Linked DNA regions of Cricetulus griseus. The protein of the gene in region 1 purifies or fractionates together with the protein of each later gene. This does not show direct contact. Links are inferred from orthologs where the notes say so. Each region holds a gene or a part of one and is shown in the gene's direction. Other genes may lie near its edges.

Region 1 (4,249 bases):
TGGCGCACCCCTTTAATCCCAGCACTCAGGAAGGCAGAGGCAGGCAGATCTCTGTGAGTTCAAGACCAGCCTGGTCTACAAGAGCTAGTTCCAGGACAGCCTCCAAAGCCACAGAGAAACCCTGTCTCAAAAAACCAAAAAATAAAATAAAACATCTGGAGCTGGAGTTACAGACAGTTATGGACTGCTATGTGGGTGTTGGAAATTGAACCTGTGTCATCTGGAACAGCAGCCAATGCTCTTAACTGCTAAGCCATCTCTTCAGCCCCTGAAATGTAATTTAAAAAAATAAATTTTAAGGGCAGACCCAGTGTAGTGGAGCATGATTTCAATACCAGCATTGGGAGGCAGAAGCAAGGAGATCTGTGAGTTCAAGGCCAGCTCAGTCTACATAGTGAGTTCGAGGACAGCCAGGGCTACATAGTGAGACCCTGTCTTGAAAAAAAAAATTTTTTTTAAGAGTAAAAATCGGGGCTGGAGAGATGGCTCAGAGGTTAAGAACACTAACTACTCTTCCAGAGGTCCTGAGTTCAATTCCCAGCAACCACATGGTGGCTCACAACCATCTGTAATGAGATCTGGTGCTCTCTTCTGCTGTGCAGGCATACAAGCAGGCAGAATGTTGTAAACACAATAAGTAAGTAAATAAATCTTAAGAAAAGTAAAAATCTGTCGGGCACTGGTGGTGCTCGCCTTTAATCCCAGTACTGGTGGGGGCAGAGGCAGGTGGATCTCAACTCATTCCAGGCCAGCCTGGACTACAGAGCTAGTTACAGAACAGCCAGAGCTGTTGCAGCTGTTGAAACCCTGTCTCAACTCCCACCCCACCCCTAAAAAAAACCGCAAAATTTCACTCTTTTCTGTTTGTTTTGTTTTTCAATACAGGGTTTCTCTGTGTAACAGTCCTGGCACTCGATTTATAGACCTGCCTCTGCCTCCTGAGTGTTGGGATATAAGGCGTTTCTTTTTGGTTTTTCGAGACAGAGTTTCTCTGTGGCTTTGGAGCCTGTCCTGGCACTCGCTCTTGTAGACCAGGCTGGCCTCAAACTCACAGAGATCCGCCTGCTTCTGTCTCCCGAGTGCTGGGATTAAAGGCGTGCGCCACCAACGCCCGGCTCAATTTTGATTTTTTTGAGACAGAATCTCACTGCGGAGCCCTGGCTGGCCTGGAACTGTGTCGATCAGGCCTGCCTAGAACTCGCTGAGAGTGGCCTGACTTTGCTTTCCAAGTGCTGGGACTACCGTGGGCCGACAACCCCTAGGCAACTACCTTTTTTGTCCCCAGGGGATGCTCGGTTGGGTTTCGGCGGGAACTCCCAGAAGGCTGAACAACGTGAGCCTGGCCCTTTAAGAATCACCTCCGGTCGTCAGTGCCGCCGAGTCCCGTTGCTAAGGACGTGACGTCACGCGCGGATGCTGGGGCGGGGCCGTCGTGCGCGGCGCCGTGAGCGGAAGCGGAAGGGGCGGGGCTCCGCGAGCGGACTCTCTATCCCTTGTGGGTCCCTGTTCAGCGCCCGGCCGTGTGGAGCGCCGGGAGCCAATCCGGGCCTCCTAGGCGAAGATGGTGGACTACAGCGTTTGGGATCACATCGAGGTGTCGGACGATGAGGACGAGACGCACCCCAACATCGACACGGCCAGCCTCTTCCGCTGGCGGCACCAGGTGGGGCTGTGCGCGCGCATCCCCTTCCCCCCACTCCCGGGACCCCCCGCTCTAGAGTTCTGACCTCTTACCCTGGCCGCCCTGGTTCGGGCGGGTCGGGGGAAACTCAGTTATTGACATCGGGAGCCTCCTATTCCACAATCTGAACTTTCTGTCTCTCTTATTTTTTAAAAAAAATCGAACCAGGATCTCACTATAGCCTTGCCTGGCCTGGAACTTGCTATGTAGACCAGGCTGGCCACTAACTCACAGAGATCCGCCTGCCTCTGCCTTCCCAGTGCTGGGATTAAAGGTGTATACCGTCATGTGGCCTGGACTGTTAAATTCCATCCCAGGACTTCAGGATCACTGGGCTTCCTAACTCTCCACGGTCATCTCTGGGCTTTCCCCGCTGCTATCTCTTTTATTTTATTTGTACATTTGTTTGTTAGTTTACTTGTAGTGGTGTGTCTTGTGTGCTCGTGGCACAGCTTGTATCTGTAGATTAAAGGACAGTTAACAGAAGTCAGGCCTCTCCTTTCACCACGTTGGAACTGGGCATGGAACTTAGGTCACCCCAATTTGCCACAAGCACCTCCTATACACACTGAATCTTCTTATCAACTCCTAATACTTTCATCAGAGTCTAGACTCTCCAAACGCCGGCCCTTGTGAGTAGGGGTCCCCATCATCCTGTATGGAACCTTTTTTTCTCCTCAGAATTCTTTCTCGGAGTCCAGAACTCAGATTCTGTTAGGCTCTCCCTTGTTCTAGCCATGTGCCCACTGCTGATTGAACACCTCCCTTCTGCCTCTTCTCAGCCCCTGGAGTCTGGGTCCACGATACTTTTGATTTGATTGGGGCATCTACTTCCCAGGATCTTAAGCACAAATTTACATTAAGGCCCAGAGATACCCTGCCCCCAACTCCCAAACTGAATGAGAACTGTGTCTTACACTTAATTTCCCGATCTTAGCTTTCCGCTGGGATTCCACAACCCAGGGTCCCTTTCCCTGGAGTACAGACCAGAATCCCACTGGGGACTTCAGTCCCACCTAGGACTTCTCTCCATGTGGCCTCCAGCTCCACTGCTGCCCTGTGGCTTCCCTTACTCTTGCCTCCTGTAGACGCTTTTCCCCTTATTCCAGGAAACCCTACCCACTTAACTTCCGTCCAGAACCTCTGCCTGCTCCTTTATAGTAAGTAGACCCCCATCCTGTCCCTGGCTCCTGTATGAACTTTGGCCATCATTGAATACTCACCAAAATAGGAGCCGGGCAGTGGTGGTACACGCCTTTAATCCCAGCACTAGGGAGGCACAGGCAGGCCTGTGAGTTCCAGGTCAGCCTTGTTTACAGAGAGAATTCCAGGACAGCCAGGACTACACAGAGAAACCCTGACTTGAAAAACAAACAAACAAAAAACAGAAAGAAAGAAACTCACCAAACCTGAGCTCAGAACCCCAAACCTATTCTATCCTTCCCACCCTTTCCCCTGCAGCCTCCTTGGCTTCTCTGCAGTGTTCAAATCATCCTACTTAACTGGGGGAATCTCCTGGATCTTATCCCAACATCACCTTACTTCCTGAGCATGATGCCACATACCTTTAAACTCAGGTCTTGGGAGGTAGAAGTAGGAGGATGAGAAATTCAGTCAATCCTTGCTACATGTTAAATTCTAGGCCAGCTTGAACTACATGAAACACTGTCTCAAAAACCAAATAGGCTGGTGCTCAGTTGTGTGTCATTGCCTTGCACTGTGTCTCCAGCAGTGCTTAAAAGCTAGCCATGGTGGGACAGGCCTGTAGTCCCAGCACTGTGGAGATGGGAACAGGAAAGTCAGAAGTTCAAAGCCTTCAGCCACATAGTAAGCTTGAGGCTGGCATGGACCACATGGGATCCTGTCAACACCCAAGCAAATAAAATAAAATCCTACACATTTTTTTACATCTGTCCAGAACAGAGTCCCCCAGATTCAGACCTTAGAATCCCGTGTGTTTGAGCCATGGTTTTCCACCCCTCTTCTGCCCGGCATTGACCACGGGACAGTAGTGTACTACCAAGATCTAAGGGTGGTCTGGAGATGTGGTTTAGTGATAGAGCTCTTGTGTGGCATGCAGGAGGTCCTGGGCTCCATCCATAGCACAACAGTAAAGAGACAAGGGTCTAACCTGCTCTCCCAAATCACAGCATCTATATCCACCTACCTGTGTGCTATACCCTGTGCTTAAATTGTATTTTATTCATTTGTGTATACACTCCTGTATGTGTAAATGTACATGTGTAGTCCACGGAGGATAACTTGGTGGAATCTGTTTTCTCCTGCCATGTGGGTTCTGGGGATCAAACTCAGGTTTTCAGGCTTGGTGGCAGACCTTTACCCACCGAGCCCTCTCATTGGACCCTGAGTTTGTTATACTCTCAAGCTTAGGGCAGGTACTTTCTGGTTAGGAATTTTGCACCCCATCTTCCTGAGGGCAGCTCCTGCTCATTTATCTGGAAGCTCCTAGAAGGTCCTCCCTGTCTCCCCCAAATTAGTGTCTGTCCTCCACCCAATTCACACACCCATTCCTTCCAGTTTCCTAGGATGACTGCCTGCCAGGCAAGC
Region 2 (3,500 bases), on another chromosome or scaffold:
CTTTAAAAAAACAAACAAGTAATAAGCCAGGTATGGTGGCATATCCCTTTAATCCTAGAAAAAGATAAATCACTGAGTTCAAAGCCAGCTTGGTCTACATATTGAATCCCAGGCTGGTCAGGCTACCCAGTAAGATCCTGTCTCAAAAACTACCTAGCGCGCGCGTGCGTGCGTGCGTGCGTGCGTGCGTGCGTGCGTGCGTGCGTGCGTGCGTGTACATATGTGTATATAATTATTTACTTAGTATATTTTATTCACACAAGCGCTCTCGAATTGTCTTAACTGTGAAAGTAATTTATTTACAGTGTACCCTTGTACCTTGTTCATTTATCTAGAACATGCTGATGGTTTATGCCACAAGTTAACAACTGTGTGTCCAACTGTGAAACCCCAGACTCAAGGTCTAGCAAAAGACGCTTGGGAAATCCCTCGAGAATCTTTGCGACTAGAGGTTAAACTAGGTCAAGGATGCTTTGGTGAAGTGTGGATGGGTAAGAAGCATGAAGTTTGTTGTTATTTCACTTTGTTATTGTGGATCCATAAATTAAAATAGCAAAATATGATAAAATAGCTACACTGTGTATTTAATCATGTAAGATAACTTATTGTTCATTGAATTTTGGTCTAAAATCCTTTGAAATACAGATTCAGATACAGAAATATTGAAAGAGTAAAATAAATTATTTTCCTAGGAACATGGAATGGAACCACAAAAGTAGCAATCAAAACACTAAAGCCAGGTACAATGATGCCAGAAGCTTTCCTTCAAGAAGCTCAGATAATGAAAAAATTAAGACATGATAAACTTGTTCCACTGTATGCGGTTGTTTCTGAAGAACCAATTTATATTGTCACTGAGTTTATGTCAAAAGGTATGTACATAAGAATTGTCTTTTACACAGTTCTGTTGAAATTAAACAACTTCATTTCTGTTCTTTCTTAGATTAAAAGAAAACATATAATATATTTTGGTCATATTCTTTCCCAGATATCCACTCAACCTCCCAATTTTATATTCTTTCTCTTAAAAAAAAAATACAAAAAACATGAGAAAACCCCAAAATTAAATTATAAACAAAACACGAAGTCCATTTTTTGTTGGCCATTCCTGAGCACGAAGCCTTCCCTGGAGTGTGGTTGATATACCCATTGTCTCTTAGTTGGGGGGCGGGTGGGGTGGGGTGGGGGGGGAACAAACAGATTTTTCCCTTTCCCAGCAGCTATCAATTGCAAATAAGTTCTTGGTTAAGAGTTAAACTATGTGCCCAATTGCCCTTCCCTTTGTTGGGATTTTTGTCTGGTTTGAACTTGTGCATAATGTCCCAGTCTTTGTGAGTTCATATATGCATCAGACCTGATGTGTCTGGAAAATGTTGTTATTGAGGAGTCATCTACCACCTCTGGCTCTTGCATAGATCCCTGAGGCCTGATCACACTAGGGTATGATCCCATTTATATCTCAGTGTTTCAAAGTCTCTCACTTTCTGCATGTTGTCCAGTTGTGATTATCTGTGTTAATTACCATCTACTACAAGAAGTTATTTCTCTGATGAGGCGCAGTGGTAACACTTCTCTATAGGTATAACAGTATGTTGTTAAGAGTCCTTTTATTGCTTTGTTCATTTAACAGAATAATTATAGATTTTTTTCTAGAGTCCATGATTTACCTCTCAGAGGTTCTTGGCCTCATTAAGTATCAGGTATAGGTTCCATCTTATGAAGTTCAACCAGAAGATTGATGGTTACTCCCATAATATCCATGCCCCATTGCACCAGTGAGTATACCTAGTAGGCAGATTGCTGATATAGCTCAAAGAATTCACTTTTCTCCTTTAAAAATTACATTTATGTATTTTGCATACATATGTGTGTGGGTGCCGTGTGTGGAGGTCACAGGACAGCTTGAAGGAATCTGCTTTTTTCTTCTACCATTTAGGTCTTAAGGATTGAACTCAGGTTACCAGTCTTGGCAGCAGGCATCTTTACCCACTAAGTGCTCTTGTAGGCCCTCTATTTTATACAGATTGTTGCCATATAGTACTTTCTAACTTAAGATTTTTCTGTAGACTTTTGAAAAGAGGAGATATGATATTTTTTTTAATGGACTAGTGGTTATTCCCACTTATCCCACAGGGTCTAAGGAGACTTTAAAGGAAAATTAGACAGGCTGAATCTTTTCAAAGTAGGTTTAACTAAAGGAAATGGGATTGCTAGGGTAGTAGAAAAGTAGACATACTGAATCAAAGTGGTAAACTTGTACCTATAGCACTAAGGCAAAGATATTAAAGGGAATCGTTTTTTATCATTTTTATAAAATTATAATTTCACATGTCAGTCCCTTCTCCCTCTCCTCCCAACCCCCCACCAGCCCCCTCCCCCCTCCACTCCCCATAGAGGGTAGGGTCCTCCACGGGGGCTCCCCAAATTCCACATCATCCTGGGCCAGGCCTAGGCCTTCCCCCATGTGTCCAGGCTGAGAGAGCATCCCTTCACGTGGAATGGGCTCTCAAAGTCCCTTCTTACACCAGGGAAAAATACTGATCCACTACCAGAGGCCCCATAGGGTACCGAGGTCTCCTCGTTGATATCCACTTTCAGGGGTCTGGATCAGTCCCGTGATGGCCTCCCAGACAGCAGACTGGGGGCTATGTGTTTCCCCCTTGTTCAGGCCAGCTGTTTCTGTGGGATTCACCACCTGGTCCTGACCCCCTTGATCTTCATTTCTCCCTCTCTGCAACTGGGTTCCAGAGTTCAGTTCAGTGTATAGCTGTGGGTGTCTGCCTCTGCTTCCATCAGCCACTGGATGAGGGCTCTAGGATGACATATAAAGTAGTCATCAGTCTCATTATAGGGGAAGGGCATTTAGGGTAGCCTCTCCACCATTGCCTAGATTGTCAGTTGGTGTCATGCTTGTAGATCTCTGGAAATCTCCCTAGTGCCAGATCTCTCCTTGGACCTATAATGGCTCCCTCTATTATGATATCTCTCATCCTGCTCTCCTCTATTCTTCCTCCAACTCAGCCTTTCTGCTCCTCCATTTCCTCCTCTCATTCTGCCAGCTCCCTCTCCCCTACCCTCATGTTTATATAAACACAGTTCTTATACACTGGACTTCCAGAAACTGTTCTCCCCTGCTGTCAATTGAAATTTCTCATCCTTCCCAACCCAGGCACAGGTGGGCTCTTATGTAACTGCTAGTTAGAGCCAGGGGCAAAGCCAGGCAAGGTTAATGTTCTTCCCCTTTATTTCTAGGTCAATGATGCTTTAGAAGAGGAGCTAGTAAGTGATGAAATGTTGATTAGCCTGAATCTACTCATTTTTAATTGAATCTATATTAATTTTTTTTTTTTTTTTTACTTTTTGTTTTTGTTTTTTGAGACAGGGTTCTCTGTGGAGCCCTGGATGTCTTTGAACTCACTCTGTAGACCAGTCTGGCTTTAAACTCACAGATCCACTTGCCTCTACCTCCCAAGTCTGGGATTAAAGTGCTCAGCTTATTT
Region 3 (3,976 bases), on another chromosome or scaffold:
AATTTAAAGAAAGAAATCTTATCCTTTTATAGAACCAACAGACTCAACCCATTACATACAAGTTCTCAAAATAACCGCTAACTTGTTTTGAAATAAGAAAACGTGACAGCACCATTTGGGATACAGGGTTCCTTCTAAATTCATCTAGTAGTCAGGGTGGCCATCTGTTACTTTATCCAAAGGAAAACCAAGACTCATAACTTCTGACAAACAAGTAACAACTTTAAGCTGGACACACAGAGGAAGTTCCCACCAGTCAGGGAGATGGGGTGTTGTTATATTCGAAAAAGGTAGTTTCAAGGCCCCTAAGGAAAATTTTCTGTGGTTGTAAAACTGTCAAGACACCAACCTAATCTTTTTTAAAGGGTGCTGGGGATTTAACTTGGGGCTTTGTGGTTCATTCTATTGGTGAGCTTCAAATGGCCAGAGAAAATATGTTTTCTAAAGGAAATGTTCCAAGAAAAAGAACACGTGCGTGTGTGTGTGTGTGTGTGTGTGTGTGTGTGTGTGTGTGTGTGTGTGTGTGTGTGTGTGTGTGTCCCTCTTATTCTTATTTTGATGTCAGGGAAAGTTCAATTTAAAAACTATGTTCATCCTAAAATATGTCCACAAATGGCTGCCACAGTGTTGCATTCCAGATCCACACTCCCCTCTTCACCTAGCCACCTGTGGCCTGTCTTTCAAATTCCTCCTCAACCATTTTCCTAAAGGAAGCCTCCCTCCCTCCAGCCAGACCACCAGCACGGTTCTTCTACTTATCAAGAATTATGGCTACAGTCTCCTAAAGCTGGTAAATACTGGACATCATTTAGTCCGATTGCACCCCATTTTAAGGATAGTCAAACTAAGACATACGAACGTCCTTTAAAATGTGCTTACAGCACTGGCTCCAAATTGCATTTAAGGGTTTTCTCTCGCCCTTATTCTTAAGCCCCTAAAATCAGCCCCAAATGGCCAGAAAATACACAATTAAAATCGAGTCGTCCTCCCGACACTCACACCAAAAAAAGGACAAGCTTTTTTTATTCTGCAGCAGTGTTAGGGTTAAAGTCCTTAACACGCAGTTGTCGTCCAGACTGTGCCTGAGCGCCAATCAGGACAGGCGAATTTGCCCTAGAGACTACCATTTGGGGCCACCCCTCCTAATCCGGAACACGACCCACATTCCGCTGGTCCTGTGTTGACGGGCGTGATCTTCCTCCAATAAGAACGGAGGGCTGAGTCCTGGAGAGCCAATAACAAGAAGCCGAGGGACGGTGGCGGCGGACTGTTAAGAGGAAACAAGAAGACAGGCCCAAGATGGAGGCGGTGGTGGTGGTAGCGGTGTGACAGGTGAGGGCAGGCCCGGTAGGGTTTGGGTTTTGGAGCTGCCGCCGGACCCGGGCAGGAAGTCGGACCGAAAGCTAAGCTCCAAGATGTTTCTGTCTGAATCTCAACACCCCCCGCCCGGAACCAAAGGAGTGGTTTGACCCGGGGCGAGACCATCATCTACCGCGGGAGTGGATAGAGTCCGCGGACAGCCTGCTGTGGTTGCGCCCGCTGCGAGTGGCAGTGCGCCTGCGCAGAACCTAAAGCCCTTCGGGAGGGCGGGACCGGGCCAAATGGGGTCTGGGGTCTGGGGCTTGGGTGCGAGATTCTAAGATGAACTCAAACCCCTCCAAGTGGCTGACATTTCCTCACCAAATCCAGGAGATGCAGCTCTCTCCCATGATTCCTTGTTATCCTAAAAATTCTACCCCTCTTAGGAAAATGTTTGAGGACCGCCCCATTACCCCTAATTCACCTCAGCCTCCTTCCAAGATTCCCCAGTGCGTTTACATCAGTAATGTATTTGTGACCCTTCAGTAGTTATCTGGGAGAATTTTTGGAGACCTTTTCCCCAACCTTACCTCTATTTTCCTCACCTGGATATCATTGTGTTCTTTTTCCTTTCCTTTTAGCAGTGTTTTCTGGTGGGCAGTTATTGCCATTTGCATTTGGCTTAAATGTGTAATTCAGTCTATTATCCATCTGCCTTTCATAGTCCCTAATGACTCCTATTATATTTCTCTTCAGCATAGTGCTTGGTGACCCACTTTGTGAATTCATCACAGTCTGGTGACCTCTATTGGCTATCTGACAGTGCCTTTAATTCTACCCTCAGCCTTGCAGCTCAGGGCTCTGGGATGCTCTCACAGTGCCTTTTAACATCATGGCACAGTCTCCATTTCCTCCAAATGGAGGAAAGATACGACATAAAGATACGACGATCGTCCATTTTTCCGTTCCCTGTCTGTAACTCCTTTTACTATACTATCTGATCTCTTCATTCTCCATTAAAAGCCAGGGCAGCCTGTTCATTCCCATTATGTGTTTGAGCCTTTGTTCTCCAGTACAGTACATACTGACATCCCCATTAGTCTCCAGAAGAATTTTGTGTACTGTGCTTCCTCACTGAGGTGATTTTGAGATCTTGGCACTCAACTGTGAGATAAGCAATAGGAGATTCTGAGCAGAGAAGGGTAAGCACCAGGTGTTAGCATTATCAGGGCTATTTCATGAAATTTGGGCTGCAGGGAGCAATGGGAGCTTGGAGATGGAATTTTATTTGTCCTCTGCCATTCTGCTTTCAAACTATTATTACTAGACCTCGGAATTTTTCCTCTGCCCTCTCCTAGGAGCCCTATGGCACCCGTTCAGTCCTACCTCAGCCCATCTTGACAAAAGCAGGTTCCATGGAACCACCACGAGGCCCTCCTGCTAGTGGGGCTGAGCCATCTCGGGCAGTTGGCACTGTCAAAGTGTACCTGCCTAACAAGCAACGCACAGTGGTGAGTCACTGAGACAAAACTGGCATGTGTTCCAGATGGTCCCAATTGTAAGTCTGGGATAAGAAGGGTGACAAGGGGCCAGGGAATGGCTACTGCAGAGGGATGGGATAATTGGCTAGGGCATTTATTAGGTACTCAAGACCCCAACCTGTGTACACATCCACACATAGGTGACTGTCCGGGATGGCATGAGTGTCTATGATTCATTGGACAAGGCCCTCAAGGTTCGGGGTCTCAATCAGGATTGCTGCGTGGTCTACAGACTCATCAAAGGGTAAGTATGGAAACCCTGTGCCATCCATTGGGTACCCAAAAACCTCTGTTCATCAGTGTCATCTTAGTCCTTCTTTTCTGTCTTGGAGTCTTCCACTAGTTGAGGTAACCCAGGTAACATCTTTTGTTTCACTTCATTCATGGACCTGGAAGGTCTGCAACTCATTATCTACTCAGCCTTCAGGTCCTCATTCCGTCACCTTCCAGAGTTCATCTATTTTGTTCTGTCACAATTTCCTGAACTCATCAGCTCTTTCTTTTCTCATTTCCCTCATGGACTGTAGAATTGGTCTTCAATGGTATTCTTTTATTCCTGTGTTCTTTGGTTCCTTAACTTTTTGGATGTAGTTCATGTTTTACATTTTATCTATTCTTTCAATGTCTTATCAGCCCCATTCTCAGGTGCTGGCTTAATACTTCTGACATTTCATCTCATTTGCCTCTTATCTCATGGTTAAAGATCATGGATTGAATCTGGGAATGGTGGGCATACCTGTGATCCTAGCAATTAGGCAAATCACTTCATCTCTTGAGCCTGTTTCCTCATCTATAAAATGGGAGTGAGAATAGTGGCTTTTTTCTTGGGAAATTTTACCTTCTTTTTTGTGTGTGAGTGTTTTGACTCTGTGTGTGTGTGTGTGTGTGTGTGTGTGTGTGTGTGTGTGTGTGTACTGTGTGTTCCTGATGCTTATGGAGGCCAGAAGGTTCTAGATCCCCCAGAACTGGAGATTGTGAGCCAGCATGTGAATGTCTAGAACTAAACCCAGGTCCTCTGCAAGAGCAGCAAGTACTCTTACTGCTGAGCCATCTCTCCAGCCTAATAGTGACTAGCTGAGTGAAAAGTAAACATTCCAGAGAGTAGTTCATGGATGGGGCTGAGAGGAACTTTTGGA
Region 4 (2,949 bases), on another chromosome or scaffold:
GCCCACCTGCCTGTTGCTCACCTTGGGACAGAGGACTCGCCATCGGTGGAGGGACTGGCTTCAGGCTCAGTGCCTCGGTGCAGGAGGCAGAGGGCTCTGGGCCTCTGTGGCTGTCTGTGTCAGGGCCATGGTGGTGCTGAGGTTGTGGTGGTGGCGGCGTTTTCCTTGCAGCCTGGCTGGATCATCTCCGTGTGGACTGCTGTGGTACCCAAAGGGAAGTGCTGGCGCTTGCCTATCGCACTCTGTTCTCTCTTTGTAGACAGCAGGCGCTAACACTACGGACAAGGAGCTAGAGGTTCTGTCCTTGCACAATGTCACCTTTGAGGACGCGGGGGAGTATACCTGCCTGGCAGGCAATTCTATCGGGTTTTCCCATCACTCTGCGTGGCTGGTGGTGCTGCCAGGTACTGGCTTCTGCTCACGCTGCACTGGTTCTCTTGGGGTGCTGGCTCAGGACATGCCAAAGCTGCCAGGGACTACAGGGGGCACCCTATGGCTTAGTGCTGCCCTATGAAACCCCAGCCTTGTGCTTGGTATGGGAGCATCAACCTGCCCCATCTTGGTCCTGCAAGGCCCCCCCCCCTTCATCTTCTAGTTGGGTGCCCACAGTCCTGATCTGAGGCTCTGGCATTTCCTGGGTGCCCGGGTGGCGGTATGGATGCTTCTGGCTCTGCTGGGCTTCTGTCCTGGGTCTGGCCATGCTGACTTACAGTTGTTTTTAACTATATTACCAAGGCAAGTGGGGAGCCTTGATCCCTCCATCTCTTGAGTATCTCAGGTACTTTCCCTCCCACACTGGTGCTTGTGTCCAGCCGGTGGGAAACCTGAAAAGGCTGGATGAGGCCCCCAAACTTGTGTCTTTACAGCTGAGGAGGAGCTGATGGAAGTCGATGAAGCTGGCAGCGTGTATGCAGGCATCCTCAGCTACGGGGTGGGATTCTTCCTCTTCATCCTGGTGGTGGCAGCTGTGACGCTCTGTCGCCTTCGAAGTCCCCCAAAGAAGGGCCTGGGCTCACCCACTGTGCACAAGGTCTCTCGCTTCCCGCTTAAGCGACAGGTAACAGAAAGTAGATACCAGGTTTTGAGCTCCCTGTCTGCATTGGGTTTCCTAGAGTCCCGGTAGTACCCAGGGCCTGGGGCCTCCTAGGACTCATTCCTCTGCAGTTGAGTGGGCTGATCCCTCCCTGTCTATGTTCTCCACATGGAGCCTAAATCTTGTGGTGCAAACAGTTTTTAGTAGTCTTCAGTATCCACTTTATAGAAGTCAGAGAAACCAGCCCTTTTTTTGACCCCACGCCCTGCCTCACATAGACTTAATCTTGCTATTCCTGGTAGCTATACCACCTCACCGCTTTTCCATTGCTCAGCCCACATTGTGTGGTACCAACCTGTCCCTGATGACCCAAGCAGGTATCCTTGGAGTCCAACTCCTCTATGAACTCCAACACACCCCTTGTCCGCATTGCCCGGCTGTCCTCCGGAGAAGGTCCTGTTCTGGCTAATGTTTCTGAACTTGAGCTGCCTGCTGACCCCAAGTGGGAGCTATCCAGGACCCGGTTAGTGGTGGTGAGGGACAGTATGTACTTGGTGGGGGTTCTGGGGCTGGGGACTGGAGAGTTACTAGGCAGGGACCTGTTGAAGGTGGGATGAGATGTTCCTGAGGTAGAGTGCGGGGTGAGATTTGAGGTTTACTTTTGGTCTTCATGAGCAAATGCCCATGGAGCTTCCAGGACACAGTGGCACATGACTATGAGTCCTGGGAGTTCTGGGCACACACTTACTGCCTCTGCTTCTGTGGCCAGGCTGACACTCGGTAAGCCCCTTGGAGAAGGCTGCTTTGGCCAGGTTGTCATGGCAGAAGCTATTGGCATTGACAAGGACCGAACTGCCAAGCCTGTTACGGTGGCTGTGAAGATGCTGAAAGGTGAGAAGGGAGAGAAGTAGAAGGGCATTTTATTATTATTATTATTATTATTATTATTATTATTATTATTATTGGTTTTTCGAGACAGGGTTTCTCTGTGGCTTTGGCGGCTGTCCTGGAACTAGCTCTTGTAGACGAGGCTAGTCTCCAACTCACAGAGATCCTCCTGCCTCTGCCTCCCGAGTGCTGGGATTAAAGGCGTGTGCTACCACTGCCTAATGTAGAAGGGCATTTGAGGGCTGTGGGGCCATTAACAGACAAAACCATTCCTGCTATAGATGATGCCACTGACAAGGACCTGTCGGACCTGGTGTCTGAGATGGAGATGATGAAAATGATTGGCAAACACAAGAACATCATCAACCTGCTGGGGGCCTGCACACAGGGTGGTAGGTGCAGCAGGTGGGCAGATTGGTAGAGGGGGGCTCCTGAGTCACACAGCATCTCAGCTGTGTGTATTCCCAGGGCCCCTGTATGTGCTGGTGGAGTATGCAGCCAAGGGCAACCTACGAGAGTTCCTGCGGGCACGACGGCCTCCAGGCATGGACTACTCCTTTGATGCCTGCAGGCTGCCAGAAGAACAGCTTACTTGCAAGGATCTTGTGTCTTGTGCCTACCAGGTGGCCCGGGGCATGGAATACCTGGCTTCCCAGAAGGTATGCAGAGATAGGTCCCAGACCAGGTGGGGTCTGTCTGGGTGGAAGAGTGAATATCAAACTTGCCTGAGCTGGGGAGGTGTCAGCTTAGCCCAGGTTCCTTGTATGTTTCCTCAGTGCATTCACAGAGACTTGGCTGCCAGAAACGTGCTGGTGACTGAGGATAATGTGATGAAGATTGCAGACTTTGGCCTGGCCCGTGACGTGCATAATCTAGACTACTACAAGAAGACCACAAATGTGAGCCCTGGTCTAGGGTAGTTTGGGTGTAATGCTCCACTGGTGGACACATGAGAGCCAATACCTCTCCCTCTGTCCAGGGCCGGCTACCAGTGAAGTGGATGGCACCAGAGGCCCTGTTTGACCGAG
Region 5 (4,024 bases), on another chromosome or scaffold:
ACCCGAGTCCCGAAACTCCGAGGTCACTTCTACAAGCTACCTTACCGCTCGTCAGTCGCGCTGGCTGACGGGCGTCTGTAACGACCATTCAGAGATAAGATCCCGCCTACACACATCAGCGCTGACCAATTCCATCTCTGGAGCCCCACCGAGGGGCGGGGCTTGAAGCCACCGCCCACAGCCGTTCATGTCGCTCCTTTACAGTCGCTTGCTTACTCCAATTCTCATTGACGGGCGTCTGAGTCAACCAATGAGAACGTAGGTCCCGCCTTCTGAGGTGGAACCCGAGCTGTCCAATGTCAGCTCGAGCGCCTACTCCGATCCAAATAGGCCAATCCGCGTTGGGAATTGAGGCGTGTCTGGGGGCGGGACTTAAGGCTACAGCCAACGGCCGCGCACGTCGGCTCCGCGAGGGGGCGTGTCCGCCGTTGAGGCGTGCGACGACGGCGCGGCGCAGGGCGGTAAACAAGATGGCGGCGGCGTGTCGGTCTAGGGAAGGGGAGGCGGCTCACGGTGTCCGCGAGTGAGGCGCGAGCCGCGGAGGGTGGCGCCGGCTTGGAGTTTCCCCTCGCGGGCAGCATCTTTCTGCCTGAAGTTCGATTCCCCCCTCGCCGCTCCGGCCTCCTGCCTGTCGCGCGGCGGCTTGGCGGCGAGGGGGACCCGCCGCCCGGGGTGTTTTTTTACCCATCGGTCTCCGGAAGATTCACTACCCCGACTTCGGTGCCTGCGGCCTGCGGGTGTCCCGGTGCCCTGCGTCCGGGTGGAGTCCGCGTCCCGGGAAGTCACGGAACTAAGGGGCCGCGCGGGGCGTCGGCGCGGGCCGGACATGGACGGCGCGGACCGGCCTCGGCGCTGCCGCCTTGGGCGCCTGAGCGCGGGGCCCGAGTGGCGACCATGACCTAGCGGCCCGCGCGCCGCGACGGCGGACCGTCGCCTCCGTCGGAAGCAGCGTCCCCGGGGACCTGAATTGGGGGGACGCGAGGGTTGGCGGGGTTCGTTGCTTTTCCTTTTTTTTTTTTTTCCCTCATTGAACATCTAGAAGAAAGGGGGAAAAGTCAAAAGTGAAGAATTGGCGCCCACGAAGGGGACGTGGACCCGGTCGAGGGGACCGGGAGTGTTGGGGAGGCTTTTTTTCTTTCTCCGTTTTCCTTCTTGAACATTTGTAAGAAGCGGGGCGGGGCGGGGCGGGCGGGGGGGAGATTCGAACTCGAAAAGAATTGGCGTCCCTGAAGGGGACAAAGACTGGGCCAGGATGGACGTGGGGGATCCCCAGCCGCTGGGCCTTTTTCCAGAGAGTGAGCTGATTTCGGTGGGCATGGACACCTTCATCCACCGCATCGATTCCACCGAGGTGATCTACCAGCCGCGCCGCAAGCGCGCCAAGCTCATCGGCAAGTACCTGATGGGGGACCTGCTCGGGGAGGGCTCGTACGGCAAGGTGAAGGAGGTGCTGGACTCCGAGACCTTGTGTCGCAGGGCGGTCAAGATCCTCAAGAAGAAAAAGCTACGCAGGATCCCCAATGGCGAGGCCAACGTCAAGAAGTAGGTGCCAAGGGCCTGGGGCCGGCCTTGAGCTTTCGGGCGGCCCTTCCTCTTTTCTCTCTACTTCCTGGCCCTATTCTTTCCTCCCCTCTAACCTTCCTCCCCTTCTCATTTCCTTCCTCCCTCTTTTTCCTCTCCCCTCTCTGCCACTATCCCTAAGCGTCACCGCGTAGGGACTGTGTGCTAGGGCAGCCCCCAGGACTTCCCTAGGGGGGAGGTCGTGTGGCCACGTCCAGCCCTCTTTTTTCGGCCGGATCTTGGCGCGGGCCTGGCCTGGCTTCCTTGGCGGGCGTTGCCAGGCGGGTGGCTACTTTGTTTACGGAGTCAGAGGGAACTGGTGGGGCCAAAAATAATGGTGAACACAGGCTGGGAGGCGGGAGGCAGGGGCAGGAGGTAGCTAGCCAGTGTTGGCGCTGGTCCCTGCGGTGTCCTGCGTGCTTGGTGTCGCTGGGCCTTGGGAACTCTATCGCCTGTCCGGCTGGGCGGAACTTAGGAAACCTCACCTACTGTCTTCCAAGAAGGGGCCTTATCTGTGGGGCCAGCACTGGCAGAGACTCTGCCTGGCTGGTGACCTTGCTTGTGGTCCTGTCCCAGGAAAAGCTGGGAGCTCCTTGTTTTTGCCAGCTGGGCGCTGCTCTTGAGTGGTTCTCACAGGGAGGTGGGTAGCTCCCCAGGACCAAGTGTGTGCACCCAGCTGGTGGAGCAGGGCAGGCTGGTGTCTTGGGCTAGCCTCAGACCTGTTTGGCTTCTTGTATAGGACTGGCCCTGGGTTATTCTGGCTCTGTGGGGCCTGGGGGTGTTCCTCCAGGTGTGACCAGCTAGAGGTTAGAGACCTGAGCTGGGGAAAACCTGGTTCCAAATCACTGTTTTCTGAAAGTGGAGGTGTCTTAGGCTGATAACCTTACATCTGGGTGGTGTCTACTGGTCTGCTGAGGCAAGCAGCCCCTCCCAGGTCTTCAGCCCCCTTTGGCTTCAGGGTTATGGCCCCTGGCAGCCCAATGTATCTGACTGTCCAGGTTGCCTGGATTCTGGCTTGAGGTCAGTAGCATTCCATGTGCACATGGCAAGCCTGTGTACTGTTTCTGCTTGTGACTGAGGGCGCCACAGCTCCATCCATGACTGCAAAGCCCTCACTAGCTATCTCAGGTTTCATGCCTTCTGTACCTAACATTGCCCAGTCAGGGTGTGGCTTGCAGAGCCAGGCAGGTTCAGGTGAGAGAAATTGATTCGTAGGCCCTGAAGTGGCCCCACCTGAATTAGTGGGGAGGCATGGGAGTGACAGGTGTCACGTGTGAGCTTAGAGGGACGTTGGACACAGTCTGTTGGAGGCCACCAGCTCCTAGATGGCTAGGGTGCTTGCTGTAAGGTGTTTGGACTGTTCCTCAAGAGCTGGAGTTGGTCTGGGCAAGTAGCACCTATTATCTCAGTGGTAGAGAGACTGAGGCAGGAAGATTGCTTCAGGTTTTAGACCAGCCATAAGGAAAACTGGACTTGACAAGATAGCTCTGTGGGTGAAGGCCCTGGGCCCCACACAGTGAAAGCAGACCCAGCTTCCATGTGTGTGCTATGACGCCTGCATACACACAAGATAAAAACCAGACTGTCTGACACACTGCCCTGTCCTGAGATCTTCGGATGACATGACCCAAGGCCAGGTGTCTGTGATGGAGGACTAGTGTGGCTGGTGTAGTGGGAACCCTGAGGCTGTGGGCATGTGGGCTGCCTCTGACCCACATGCACAGTCACAGCCTGGAAGGGGCAGCTTGGCTGACAGCTGGCCCAGTCAAAAAGGCTTCTTTGTTTTCAGGACTTAATAAACTCCACTCAAGTTGTCTCTCTCATGGTGAAGTGTCCGGAACCTTCCAGACCCAGTCTGTGTGCAAAGCTTTCTCTTTCCAATATGATAACTGTGGATGCCCGCCAAGGCATGGGGCAGTGTGGCGCCTCCCTTTCTGAGAAGGCCGCAGGGACCTGCTGCTCCTCAGTGTGCTGTGGGTGTCTTGCACTGACTTACCTGTGGGGCTTCATGTGAGCCTTGCTGCCCTTTGCTTGTGAATGGACATACTTCTGAAACCTGTCAGCAGGGACAGGTTAAGGAAGCGTGTCGGTGTCCGTGTGTGTGTGTGTGTGTGTGTGTGTGTGTGTGTGTGTGTGTGTGTGTGTGTGTGTGTGTGTGTGTGTGTGTGTGTGTCCGTGTGTCCGTGTGTCCGTGTGTGTGTGTGTGTGTGTGTGTGTGTGTGTGTGTGTGTGTGTGTGTGTGTCTCTCGCCCAAGACATGACTCCCAGTCTAGTGTCTGTATGCTACATTACAGTCTAGGGCATGAACCTGGCAAGAGCTCTCCACTGAAGCTGGTCAACCTGAGAATGCTTTTGTGTGTTTGCTTCTTGTTTGTTTTTTTTCTTGTGTATATAATTTTTTTTTTTTATCTTATGTGCATTGGTGTTTTACCTGCGTGTATGTCTGTGTGAGAGTGTTGGGTCC
Region 6 (3,958 bases), on another chromosome or scaffold:
TCTGGGCCTTCCATCAATCTTGTGGTTGTCTTTCCTTTCTAAGTCTGCCCCCCATCTTCTTTCTTTCTTCCTCCCTCCTTTCCTCCTCCCTTTCAAACTCCATGTCTCGGTCTCTACCCTCCCCATATCTTAGTTTCATTCCAACCTCCCCACTCTCTGTTTCCTCCATTCCAGTTGCCGTCCCAAACGTTTGCTTTCCTTCTGTGTCCGCTCCCCGCTCCATTCAATCCTTTCTCCTCCCTGTGCCTCCACCTATCACTTTGGTGCCATCTGTCTGACTCCTCTCCCTGGAGTCAGTTGTGTCTCTCCGTGACCACCAGCCTCTCTCCCCTGGTTCTCCATCCCTTCTGGGTCCCTCTCCCAGACTATCCACGGCTAATGTGTCTAATTTTTCTGTCCTAGATTTATGTTTTGGATGTCCTAGAATTATCTTCCTTTTTTTGTCATCACACTACAGGCCTCAGTTTCCCATTTGAACTATGACCAGGGTCTTTTCCAGCTCCCTACCCGTCACCCCCCCCCACACACACACACACGCACCAGAGGCGTCCCACTCTCCCCAGCTGCTGACCCAACCTACTTCCCCAGAGGCAGCTGCATCTCAGGGCAAGGACTGTGGCTAGTGTGTGTCGAGGGCAGCGAGGGTGGGCCCATCTGGTCCACCCTCCTTTCACTCCTCCTGCCCTGCTTCCCTGCAGTGGCGGGTGGTCTGCAGGCCTGTTTCTCCTGCGTGCCTCTCTTCACATCCCCCCCCCCGCCCCAGCTGTTTCCCCTCTTCCTGGGCTTGCAGGGGGAAAAAACGGTCCAGTTCTATACCCTCCAGGGTTCTAGGGTATAATGGGGGCTTCTGGAGTTGTGAGTGGTGAGAGAAAGGAGCAGGGGGCTCGGGGAGCCACAGACCGGCACACTCTCGGTTCTTGGCTCAGCTCTGTAGGCCCCTGAATGGCTGGGATTTCCCTCTCTGGCCCCTGGGAATCTGGGCTCCAAGCAGCACATTCCAGCCGGCTCCAGCTCCTTTTCTGTTGTCACTTGACTCCGCTGGGCCCCAGCCCCGTGTCCCTCCTACTTCTCCAGCCCTGGTCTGGGGCGAGGTGGGCATCACCGACTAGGAATTTTCCCTGGGAGAGTGAAAAGGGGGCAGAGGCTTCAAGACTCTGGCTTCCTCCACATCTCCCATGGACCCTTCACTAGTCAGTGCGAGTCTAGGGCGTGCAATGTCCCAACGGGGTGTGAGGAGTTGAAGCTCCGCCTGTCCGGGGCTTCCCCGGAGCATCTCTCCTGGGAGGAGGGGCTGTGTGCCGTTGCAGGTGAGGTTACTGGGAAGCCTTGGCCCCACCTCCAGGCGGACTCCACACCCCGCCCAGTCTCTGCAGGGCCCAGATTTCCTATTGCTGTCTGCAGAGGGGTAGGTAATTGCGGGCGGGTGGGGGGGGGGGTCCCTAAGGGCTCGGTGGACAGGCTGGAGGCAATTCTTCCAGTGACCATGGGGGCTATTAGCAGGTCCTTCAGCAGCTGGAGCGTCCCTGGGTTTGTAAACTGGAGACCCAGCCTGCCTTGGCTTCTCCCTAGTGGCCGCTTATCTTCCTGGTAGCTTTTTCTGTTCTTGTCTGTTTTTTCTTTACACTCTTTGGAAATGCTTTTGGGTGTGAGTTTTGAGTCAGTTGGGAGGTGCAACAGGGTGGTGAGACCGGCGAGGTTGCTGGAGACTTTACTGTGACCTGACATTGTCCGGGGACTTGGCAGGTGTGGGGGTGTGGAGAGAGGTAGGGCTGACAGGTGGTGCTGAATGGGGACAGAACACCTCCCACACAAGCTCGGCGGTCGCCCCGCCCCCCCCCCGCCTCCACCATCTCTCCCTTCCGTGGCTTAGCAGCTCTGTTCGTTGTTTTCTTACGTCCCTGGGTCTTGCGTTCCCGTCTTTTTGGGCGGCTTGTGATTTCCAGGGCGCCTCTCTATCTTTCTCCTCCACCCCCACCGCGTCCTGGCTCCATTTTGCGTCTCTCCTTGCCAGAAACCAGATTCTGCGGCTCCCACCAGGGACTGAGCTGGCTGGGAACTGAAGAAGGCTTGCCTGAGGAGGACTCCAGAGCGAGTCTGGATGGAGCAGGGAGCCCAGGGGGACCCAGAGCTGGGAGTGTGGACCTCAGGGCTCCTGAGAGAAGAGAAGGGAGCTGCAGTTGGGGAGGGGTTCTAGAGGAAGGGGACAGAAAAAAGTAGAGAATAAAAGAGTGTGGCCCGTCCTCAGGCTCGGGAGTAATCTAGGTTGGGAGCCGGGGAGCGGGCCTGTGCCAAAATGTAGCAAAGTGGGGAGGAGTGAGAGCCAAGCGGGGCTGGCTAGACAGGTGAGCCCGGTTCCCACAGGCCTAGCTCTCGCTCCCGAGCTGGGCCTGTGGGAACCCGCTGCTTCCTGCGTGCCCTGGGGCTGCTCCTCCGTGCTTCTCTCCCTCTCTCCAGGACCCGAGCCCAGAAAAGGGGGAGGAGGGAACGCGCCATCTCCTCGCGGGGCCACCGCTTGGGGGTCCTGGGAGGGCTGCAACCGGTCCCCTACTGTACCGTAGCCTCGGGGCGGCGGGGGATGGGCGTGCGGATCACCTAGGGGAGGCTGGGGTAACATGCGGGGCGGGCTCCGCGCGCTAGGAGAGAAACGAGGGGCGGCGCGGGCGTGGGGCGCGGGCGCCGGGCGGGAGGACGGGCGGGGACAGGCGCGGGGAGGCGGCGCCTGGGGCGATCCGGCCCCGCGCTGGCTCCTCTCCCCGGAACAGGCCTCCGACAGCTGCTCGCGGGAGCCGCCTCCCGACACCCGAGCCCCGCCGGCGCCTGCGCTCCCCTCCCGCGTCCCGCCGCCGAGGAGGCCCCAAGCCGGGGCCGGACGCTTGAGTCGGCCCCGGAGAGCGATGAGAGGTAGGGACGAGGTGGGGAAGCACAGGAGGCAGGGGGCGCGGGTTGGGGAGACTCAGCTCTGTGCGCCGCCTTGGGGTTTTGATTCCCCATCTGAAACAGAAAGGGCCCTGACTTTCCGAAAAAGTATCTTCTCGTAGGGAAGGATCTGTCTTTTCCTGGGTGAGGGGAGAGCCGAGCCCCCAGAGGACAGGTGCGCTTATGTAGCCCACTGAGTCATCCTATCGGTGCTCCCTGGGCCGTGCCTACGAGCATGCTCTGTTAAGCTGCCCCGCCACAGGGAGCCAGCCTGACGCCCAACCTACCAGACCAGCCACGCTCGGTGGTTGCCGGGTTGTGCCAAGAGACAAGTCACCGCCCAATGAGCAACGCTCCTAGGGTCCCCTTCTGGCCTGGAATTCCTGCCCAGCACCTTCTCCCAGCCACGCCCGGCTGGCCTGGAACTGACTGGCTGAGAAGGATGGAGGTGTGTCCAGACCCCAGTGGCACCATAGGGACAGGTCACAGTAGAATGCGTGAGAAAGTGGAGAAATGGCCTTGCCCTTCTTGCTGCTCTCCCCACCCCAGTCCCACCTGTCCCCACCTGCTCTTGGCTTCCCTCTGGCTTAGTCACCCATGTGGGTTTGGGAGGGGCAGTTCTCTGGGGATCCTGCACCCCAGGGCCTGAGTGGGATTCACATTGCCTGCCATTTAGTATTAAACAGGTGTCTAGAGGTGGCAACTCACTAAATGCTGAGATCTAGCTTTATTTGTCACCTCAGGGTGTGTGACACACACCTGTAATCACACACCTGAAAGGTGGAGGCAGCAGGATCAAGGGTTAAAGGTCAGCCTCCCTTGGCATCATAGTGAGTTTGGAGACTTGAACTAGTTGAGACCTTGTCTCAAAAAATCGGCCATCCTGCTATAGAGGAACATGATTTTCATCCCAGCACTCAAGGAGAGGCAGGTGGCACCCCATGAGTTCAAGGCTGTTCTGGTCTATATAGCTAGTTCCAGGCCCACCCAGGCTACATAGTGAGACCAACAAAAATCCCTCCAACTAACCAACCCCTCCTCC
Region 7 (4,284 bases), on another chromosome or scaffold:
AGGTCACAATCACCTGGCCCCAGTTTCCTGAATTAAATTTATTTCTATTTATTCATTTACTTACTTTTTTTTTTTTTTTTTTTGAAACAGAGTATCACTATGTAGCTCTGGCCAGCCTGGAATTCAGAGGCTCTGTTGCCTTCCTAATGCTAGAATTAAAGTCGTGCACCATTACACCTCACTTAAAAATGTTATTGCATGCAAATTTATTGGGAGAAGTTGTCTCTGGGCCAGAGCACGTTTGTGGAGGTCAGAGGACAACTTGTGGGTGTTGGTTCTCTCCTTCACCATCTGGGACCTGAGAGTCACCCACAGCATCGGTCTCGCAGGCAAGCTCATTTACCCATTGAGCCGTCTCACAAGTCCATCCCACACCCTTCTAAAGACGAATGTACTCCCGATCCTGTGTGACTTTGGATAAATCACTTCCTATTTCTGAGTGTCTAGTAGGAGGTGGTGAGTTCTCAAGAGAATCACAAGCCACCTGGAGGTATAGGTCCATGGTACCAAATGCAACTTAGCGTGCAAAGCCTGGCTCCCATACCCAGAACCAACTAAGCAAGGGAACACAAACACACTCACAGACACACACACACACACACACACACACACACACTCACACACACACACACACACACACAAACACACACACACACACATACACACACACACACACACACAAACACACACACACGGCAGGAGGCTTTTAGGAAACTAACCAGCTTGTCGTTGGGCTATCTCACCTGAGACCACACCTGGGCCCTACGACCTCTTTAGGCGTAGGCCAAATCCTGCCTGAGGGAATCGTGACCCCACTAGGCCTAGACTTTGCCCTCTTCACAGGGCTTCAAGTTCAAACCAGACCACCATCCGGCCTGGCGCGGAAGAGACGCTGGACCTGGCCTGAAACCAGCGCCCTCAAGCGATAGGGCACAGACTGGGAGGGAAAAAATGCGTGTTGAGAAATCACCCTGGGGGCGCTGTGGGTCCTGACGCTGGGACATGGGGATCACTTAAGAGACCCCAGGTGGGCTCCCTGCTGTGCGGAGGCTTGCGGAGGGAGAGCCTGAGGACACACGGCCCCGGATCCTTCCAAGCCTCTGTCTGGATCAGGCCCAGGACATCCCTGGTAGGGTGGCAGCCCCTCCCGCTGGAGGGAGAAGGCACATCTGGGTTAAGATTCCAAATGCTGCGAGGACGGGACAACGGTGGCCCGGGCGGGGTCTGCGCGGGGACACACAGGCCGGGAAGAAGGAAGCCGCAGACTCTCCGGCGGGCAGGGCCCCGAGTGGGCCAGGGGCTCGAGGGAAGGCGGGGCCGACTCCCAGCGCGTTGGGGGCGGGGGTCCGCGCCGGGAATGCCGCGCCGTGGGGATGGGCGGGGCTGCCCAGGCCCCGCCCCCGCGCAGGTAGCCAATGGGCGCGGCGGCGCCGGGTGACGGAGGGAGCCGAAGTGCGAGTGCCGCGGCGGCGGCGGCGGCGGACGGCCCAGCCGGAGCGCGAGGGCGCGGGCGCGCGGGGGGTCTCAGTGCAGCGCCGGGGACCCCGGGGCCCGGAGGCAGCGCAGCCCGGGGCCGCCGAGAGCAGCGCGAGCGGGTCGGCGGCGGCGCGATGCCGCTCGCCCAGCTCAAGGAGCCCTGGCCGCTCATGGAGCTGGTGCCGCTGGACCCGGAGGTGAGTGAGAGGGGCGGGGGACAGGCGGCGGCGGCCGGCCGGCCAGCCCGCGGATCCGCACAGGGGCGGGGCGGCCCGCGTCGTCTCTGCAGCCCCGCGAGGACGCGAGTGCCCTCTGGTCTCTAGCCCACTGGCCGGCTCCACCCCCCTGTGCTCCGGGTGTGCGTGTGCAGGGCACGGTTCTGCTGGACGCTCAGTACCTCCTTGCAGTAGCCAGGAGAGGGAACCCCACGGGCTCTCGAGATTTGACACCCTAAGCACCCCTAGGACTCGTCCCGCTTATCATCTTTTGGGAGCTGTGGGAGTTGCCCCAGTCATTGCAGAAGGGAAAGGCTTGGGTCAGATGTCTGAGGTTCTGTTAGAGACAAGGATCATGGGAATCTGGTTTCTCCCCGTATCTTCTCTTCAAGAGCTCTCTTCGTTCCTCCACTTCTGACCTTAGGAAGGTAGCCCTTCTGGACCGTGGCAGTTATGGAATGTGGGATTTTACCACCTCTGGAGTGGGGACCTCCTGGTTTCCTTTGCCCTAATGCTAATGACACACGGGTCTCCTCCTTCAGGTTATGCTGAAGAGAGGGGAGAGCCCTTAGACCTTGTGAAGATTGTCTCTGGGGAAGAGACCCCGCATCCGTCTTCCTCTCTCCCTCCTTCTTCCTTTCCTGGAGAAAAGGCTGGGCCCTTGGGCAGTGTGGCTTCTACCATCTAGTCTCTCCCAGAAGCAGCTCCTATCCTACCAGGGCTTTGTGGTCCAACCCTGAGCATGTAGGAGGCCACTTTTGGTGGTGTCCAGTGACCCTGGGATCAAGGTCAAGTCTTAAACCAGCAAGTTGAAAACTTTGCCCTGCTCTCATACTGGGAAGGAGGCAGGTGAAACTTTGCCTTAACTGGAGCTGTTAGGGTACAGAAGACAGATGGAGACCTCACTTGACCCCAGAACCTAGATGATCTTTCTGCTGGCTTGAACCCTTACCTATGTTTGGGACCTCAGGGCAGTCACCATCGGTCCTGCCTGTCAGGGCCACAGGTAGAGGGATCCACAGTGGGGACCCCAGGTCTTCAGGCACCCAGAGCATGCTGCCCCTTTAAAGGGATGGGCTACACTGGCTATTGGAGGGTGGGCGCGGCTGGATTAGGTAACCAACCTGAAGGCGCAATTTGGAGTAAATTGTTCTGGGATCCCTGCCATGGGGTTTTTACAGGCCCTACACAGCCCTCAGAGGTTCTCTCGCTGACTCACCCTGGTAGGTGAGGAGCACTGCCCTGTGCAGCCCCTGTTGCCTTCCCCCCCACCTCAGGGCTGGGCACAAGGCCTGCGGGAAGGCTCAGAGGTGTATTCCTTTGCCTGGGCACGCCCCTGCCACCTGGGCCTCCAGAGGAAGGTCGAGCTGAGCTGGGTATGGTTAGGGAGGGACTTAGCCTGGCGATTCACAGTGTTACACTAGCAGGGAGGGTAGAGATCTGGTAGCCCTGGCCTCCTCCAGGGCAGCACTTCCTGCTTCCCTTTGGGAAATCCTGAGGCCACAGCCAGCTTCATAGGGGCCAGGTTAAACCGGAAACTTCTTAGTTTGAACACTGTTGCACCTGAATTTGGGGAGAGGAGACTGTCGGATTTCCTGGGATGGGGAGAGGAGTTTACAATGAGTTTTACTTCAGAAATGCTGAGTGGCCCGTAGTCCATGTTCCGGCTCTCTTGGGCTTCTCTTTTCACTGCCACAAATGCACTTCTAAATCTGCTTCCTGGGCCTGACAAGGTGCAAAACCCTGGGTACTGCTGTTGGTGTCCCCTCCCCCCGGGCCATGGAGGTGCCAGTGGACTGGGTGTTATTGTCTGGGTAACAGGAGCCATGGGGCAGTGAGGGTGTGCATTCTTACTTGAGAACAGGGCCTTGCTGTTCTTAGTGCAGATGGCATGTAAGCGATACATGTGCCTGACCCGCAGGTACTGGCGCCATTGTGGGCAGCTTCTAGCCAGGAAGGAAGCAGGTAAGGGGGCTGGCAGGGGCATTTGGCAAAAGAGGTTTGGGATCTGAATTGCCCTGCCTTCCCATTGCTATCACCAAAAAGTGGGCTGCTGGGCCCAGGTGGAATAAACCAGTCCGAAGTGTGGGTGAGGATGCTGCCTGGGTTTTCTTGGTTTGGGCAAAAACAAGAGAGTCTGGTCTCCAGGCCCTATCCTGCCAGGCTTCACTATCTGGTGTCCATGGATGTTATATGACTTTAATTTTCACAACTTCTCAAGATAGAAATTATGACTCCCATTTTCAGAGGGGACAGCTGAATTTAGAAATGCTGGCACCTGCATTAATATGTGGGGCAGGATTGGAACTCAGGGCTCTTGCTGTTTCCTACCAAGCAATGGAGACTTAAAGATGAGCATGGGCTAGGTTTAAACTGGCACAGGTGGCAGGTACTCCAAGAGCAGCTCCGGATGTTGGCACAAACTTCTCAGTCCGCAGGGCCCTTGTCCAGCCTTGGCGGAGGGCTAGCGGTGTCCTGGCACTTGGCCCCCAGGCTCCAGCAGTGTACAGGGCTGCCAATGCTGGGCTCAGACCCCAGTTCCTGGGGCTGCTTCCTGCCTGCGGGGCATGTACTATCTTTCTCCATCTGTTCT

What was found.
Region 2: the proteins of Cdc37 (region 1) and Yes1 purify together in Homo sapiens (affinity purification with mass spectrometry; 3 studies listed by BioGRID and IntAct, counting the BioPlex papers as one, with this or other methods). This does not show direct contact. The link is inferred for Cricetulus griseus from reciprocal best matches to the Homo sapiens genes CDC37 and YES1.
Region 3: the proteins of Cdc37 (region 1) and Araf purify together in Homo sapiens (affinity purification with mass spectrometry; 7 studies listed by BioGRID and IntAct, with this or other methods). This does not show direct contact. The link is inferred for Cricetulus griseus from reciprocal best matches to the Homo sapiens genes CDC37 and ARAF.
Region 4: the proteins of Cdc37 (region 1) and Fgfr3 purify together in Homo sapiens (affinity purification with mass spectrometry; 4 studies listed by BioGRID and IntAct, with this or other methods). This does not show direct contact. The link is inferred for Cricetulus griseus from reciprocal best matches to the Homo sapiens genes CDC37 and FGFR3.
Region 5: the proteins of Cdc37 (region 1) and Stk11 purify together in Homo sapiens (affinity purification with mass spectrometry; 8 studies listed by BioGRID and IntAct, with this or other methods). This does not show direct contact. The link is inferred for Cricetulus griseus from reciprocal best matches to the Homo sapiens genes CDC37 and STK11.
Region 6: the proteins of Cdc37 (region 1) and Ddr1 purify together in Homo sapiens (affinity purification with mass spectrometry; 3 studies listed by BioGRID and IntAct, with this or other methods). This does not show direct contact. The link is inferred for Cricetulus griseus from reciprocal best matches to the Homo sapiens genes CDC37 and DDR1.
Region 7: the proteins of Cdc37 (region 1) and Rps6ka1 purify together in Homo sapiens (affinity purification with mass spectrometry; 4 studies listed by BioGRID and IntAct, with this or other methods). This does not show direct contact. The link is inferred for Cricetulus griseus from reciprocal best matches to the Homo sapiens genes CDC37 and RPS6KA1.

What each region holds. Positions count from the first base shown.
Region 1 is NC_048597.1:134,007,018-134,011,266, reverse strand, and holds the start of Cdc37 (hsp90 co-chaperone Cdc37), read left to right. Parts: upstream 1-1,449; 5' UTR 1,450-1,561; coding exon 1,562-1,663; intron 1,664-4,249. UniProt on the Homo sapiens protein: Co-chaperone that binds to numerous kinases and promotes their interaction with the Hsp90 complex, resulting in stabilization and promotion of their activity. Inhibits HSP90AA1 ATPase activity.
Region 2 is NC_048595.1:461,475,780-461,479,279, forward strand, and holds part of Yes1 (tyrosine-protein kinase Yes), read left to right. Parts: intron 1-335; coding exon 336-491; intron 492-692; coding exon 693-872; intron 873-3,500. UniProt on the Homo sapiens protein: Non-receptor protein tyrosine kinase that is involved in the regulation of cell growth and survival, apoptosis, cell-cell adhesion, cytoskeleton remodeling, and differentiation.
Region 3 is NC_048604.1:125,701,614-125,705,589, forward strand, and holds the start of Araf (serine/threonine-protein kinase A-Raf), read left to right. Parts: upstream 1-1,176; 5' UTR 1,177-1,332; intron 1,333-1,647; exon of another isoform or gene 1,648-2,501; intron 2,502-2,657; 5' UTR 2,658-2,714; coding exon 2,715-2,810; exon of another isoform or gene 2,811-2,845; coding exon of another isoform or gene 2,846-2,857; intron 2,858-2,980; coding exon 2,981-3,084; intron 3,085-3,976. UniProt on the Homo sapiens protein: Involved in the transduction of mitogenic signals from the cell membrane to the nucleus. May also regulate the TOR signaling cascade. Phosphorylates PFKFB2.
Region 4 is NW_023276807.1:102,790,954-102,793,902, forward strand, and holds part of Fgfr3 (fibroblast growth factor receptor 3), read left to right. Parts: intron 1-259; coding exon of another isoform or gene 260-404; intron 405-866; coding exon 867-1,057; intron 1,058-1,407; coding exon 1,408-1,556; intron 1,557-1,802; coding exon 1,803-1,924; intron 1,925-2,202; coding exon 2,203-2,313; intron 2,314-2,389; coding exon 2,390-2,580; intron 2,581-2,697; coding exon 2,698-2,820; intron 2,821-2,900; coding exon 2,901-2,949.
Region 5 is NC_048598.1:100,914,974-100,918,997, forward strand, and holds the start of Stk11 (serine/threonine-protein kinase STK11), read left to right. Parts: upstream 1-1,224; 5' UTR 1,225-1,252; coding exon 1,253-1,542; intron 1,543-4,024. UniProt on the Homo sapiens protein: Tumor suppressor serine/threonine-protein kinase that controls the activity of AMP-activated protein kinase (AMPK) family members, thereby playing a role in various processes such as cell metabolism, cell polarity, apoptosis and DNA damage response.
Region 6 is NW_023276806.1:229,602,478-229,606,435, reverse strand, and holds the start of Ddr1 (epithelial discoidin domain-containing receptor 1), read left to right. Parts: upstream 1-1,158; 5' UTR 1,159-1,307; exon of another isoform or gene 1,308-1,405; intron 1,406-2,733; exon of another isoform or gene 2,734-2,901; intron 2,902-3,958. UniProt on the Homo sapiens protein: Tyrosine kinase that functions as a cell surface receptor for fibrillar collagen and regulates cell attachment to the extracellular matrix, remodeling of the extracellular matrix, cell migration, differentiation, survival and cell proliferation.
Region 7 is NC_048595.1:19,392,657-19,396,940, forward strand, and holds the start of Rps6ka1 (ribosomal protein S6 kinase alpha-1), read left to right. Parts: upstream 1-1,484; 5' UTR 1,485-1,610; coding exon 1,611-1,673; intron 1,674-4,284. UniProt on the Homo sapiens protein: Serine/threonine-protein kinase that acts downstream of ERK (MAPK1/ERK2 and MAPK3/ERK1) signaling and mediates mitogenic and stress-induced activation of the transcription factors CREB1, ETV1/ER81 and NR4A1/NUR77, regulates translation through RPS6 and EIF4B phosphorylation, and mediates cellular proliferation, survival, and differentiation by modulating mTOR signaling and repressing pro-apoptotic function of BAD and DAPK1.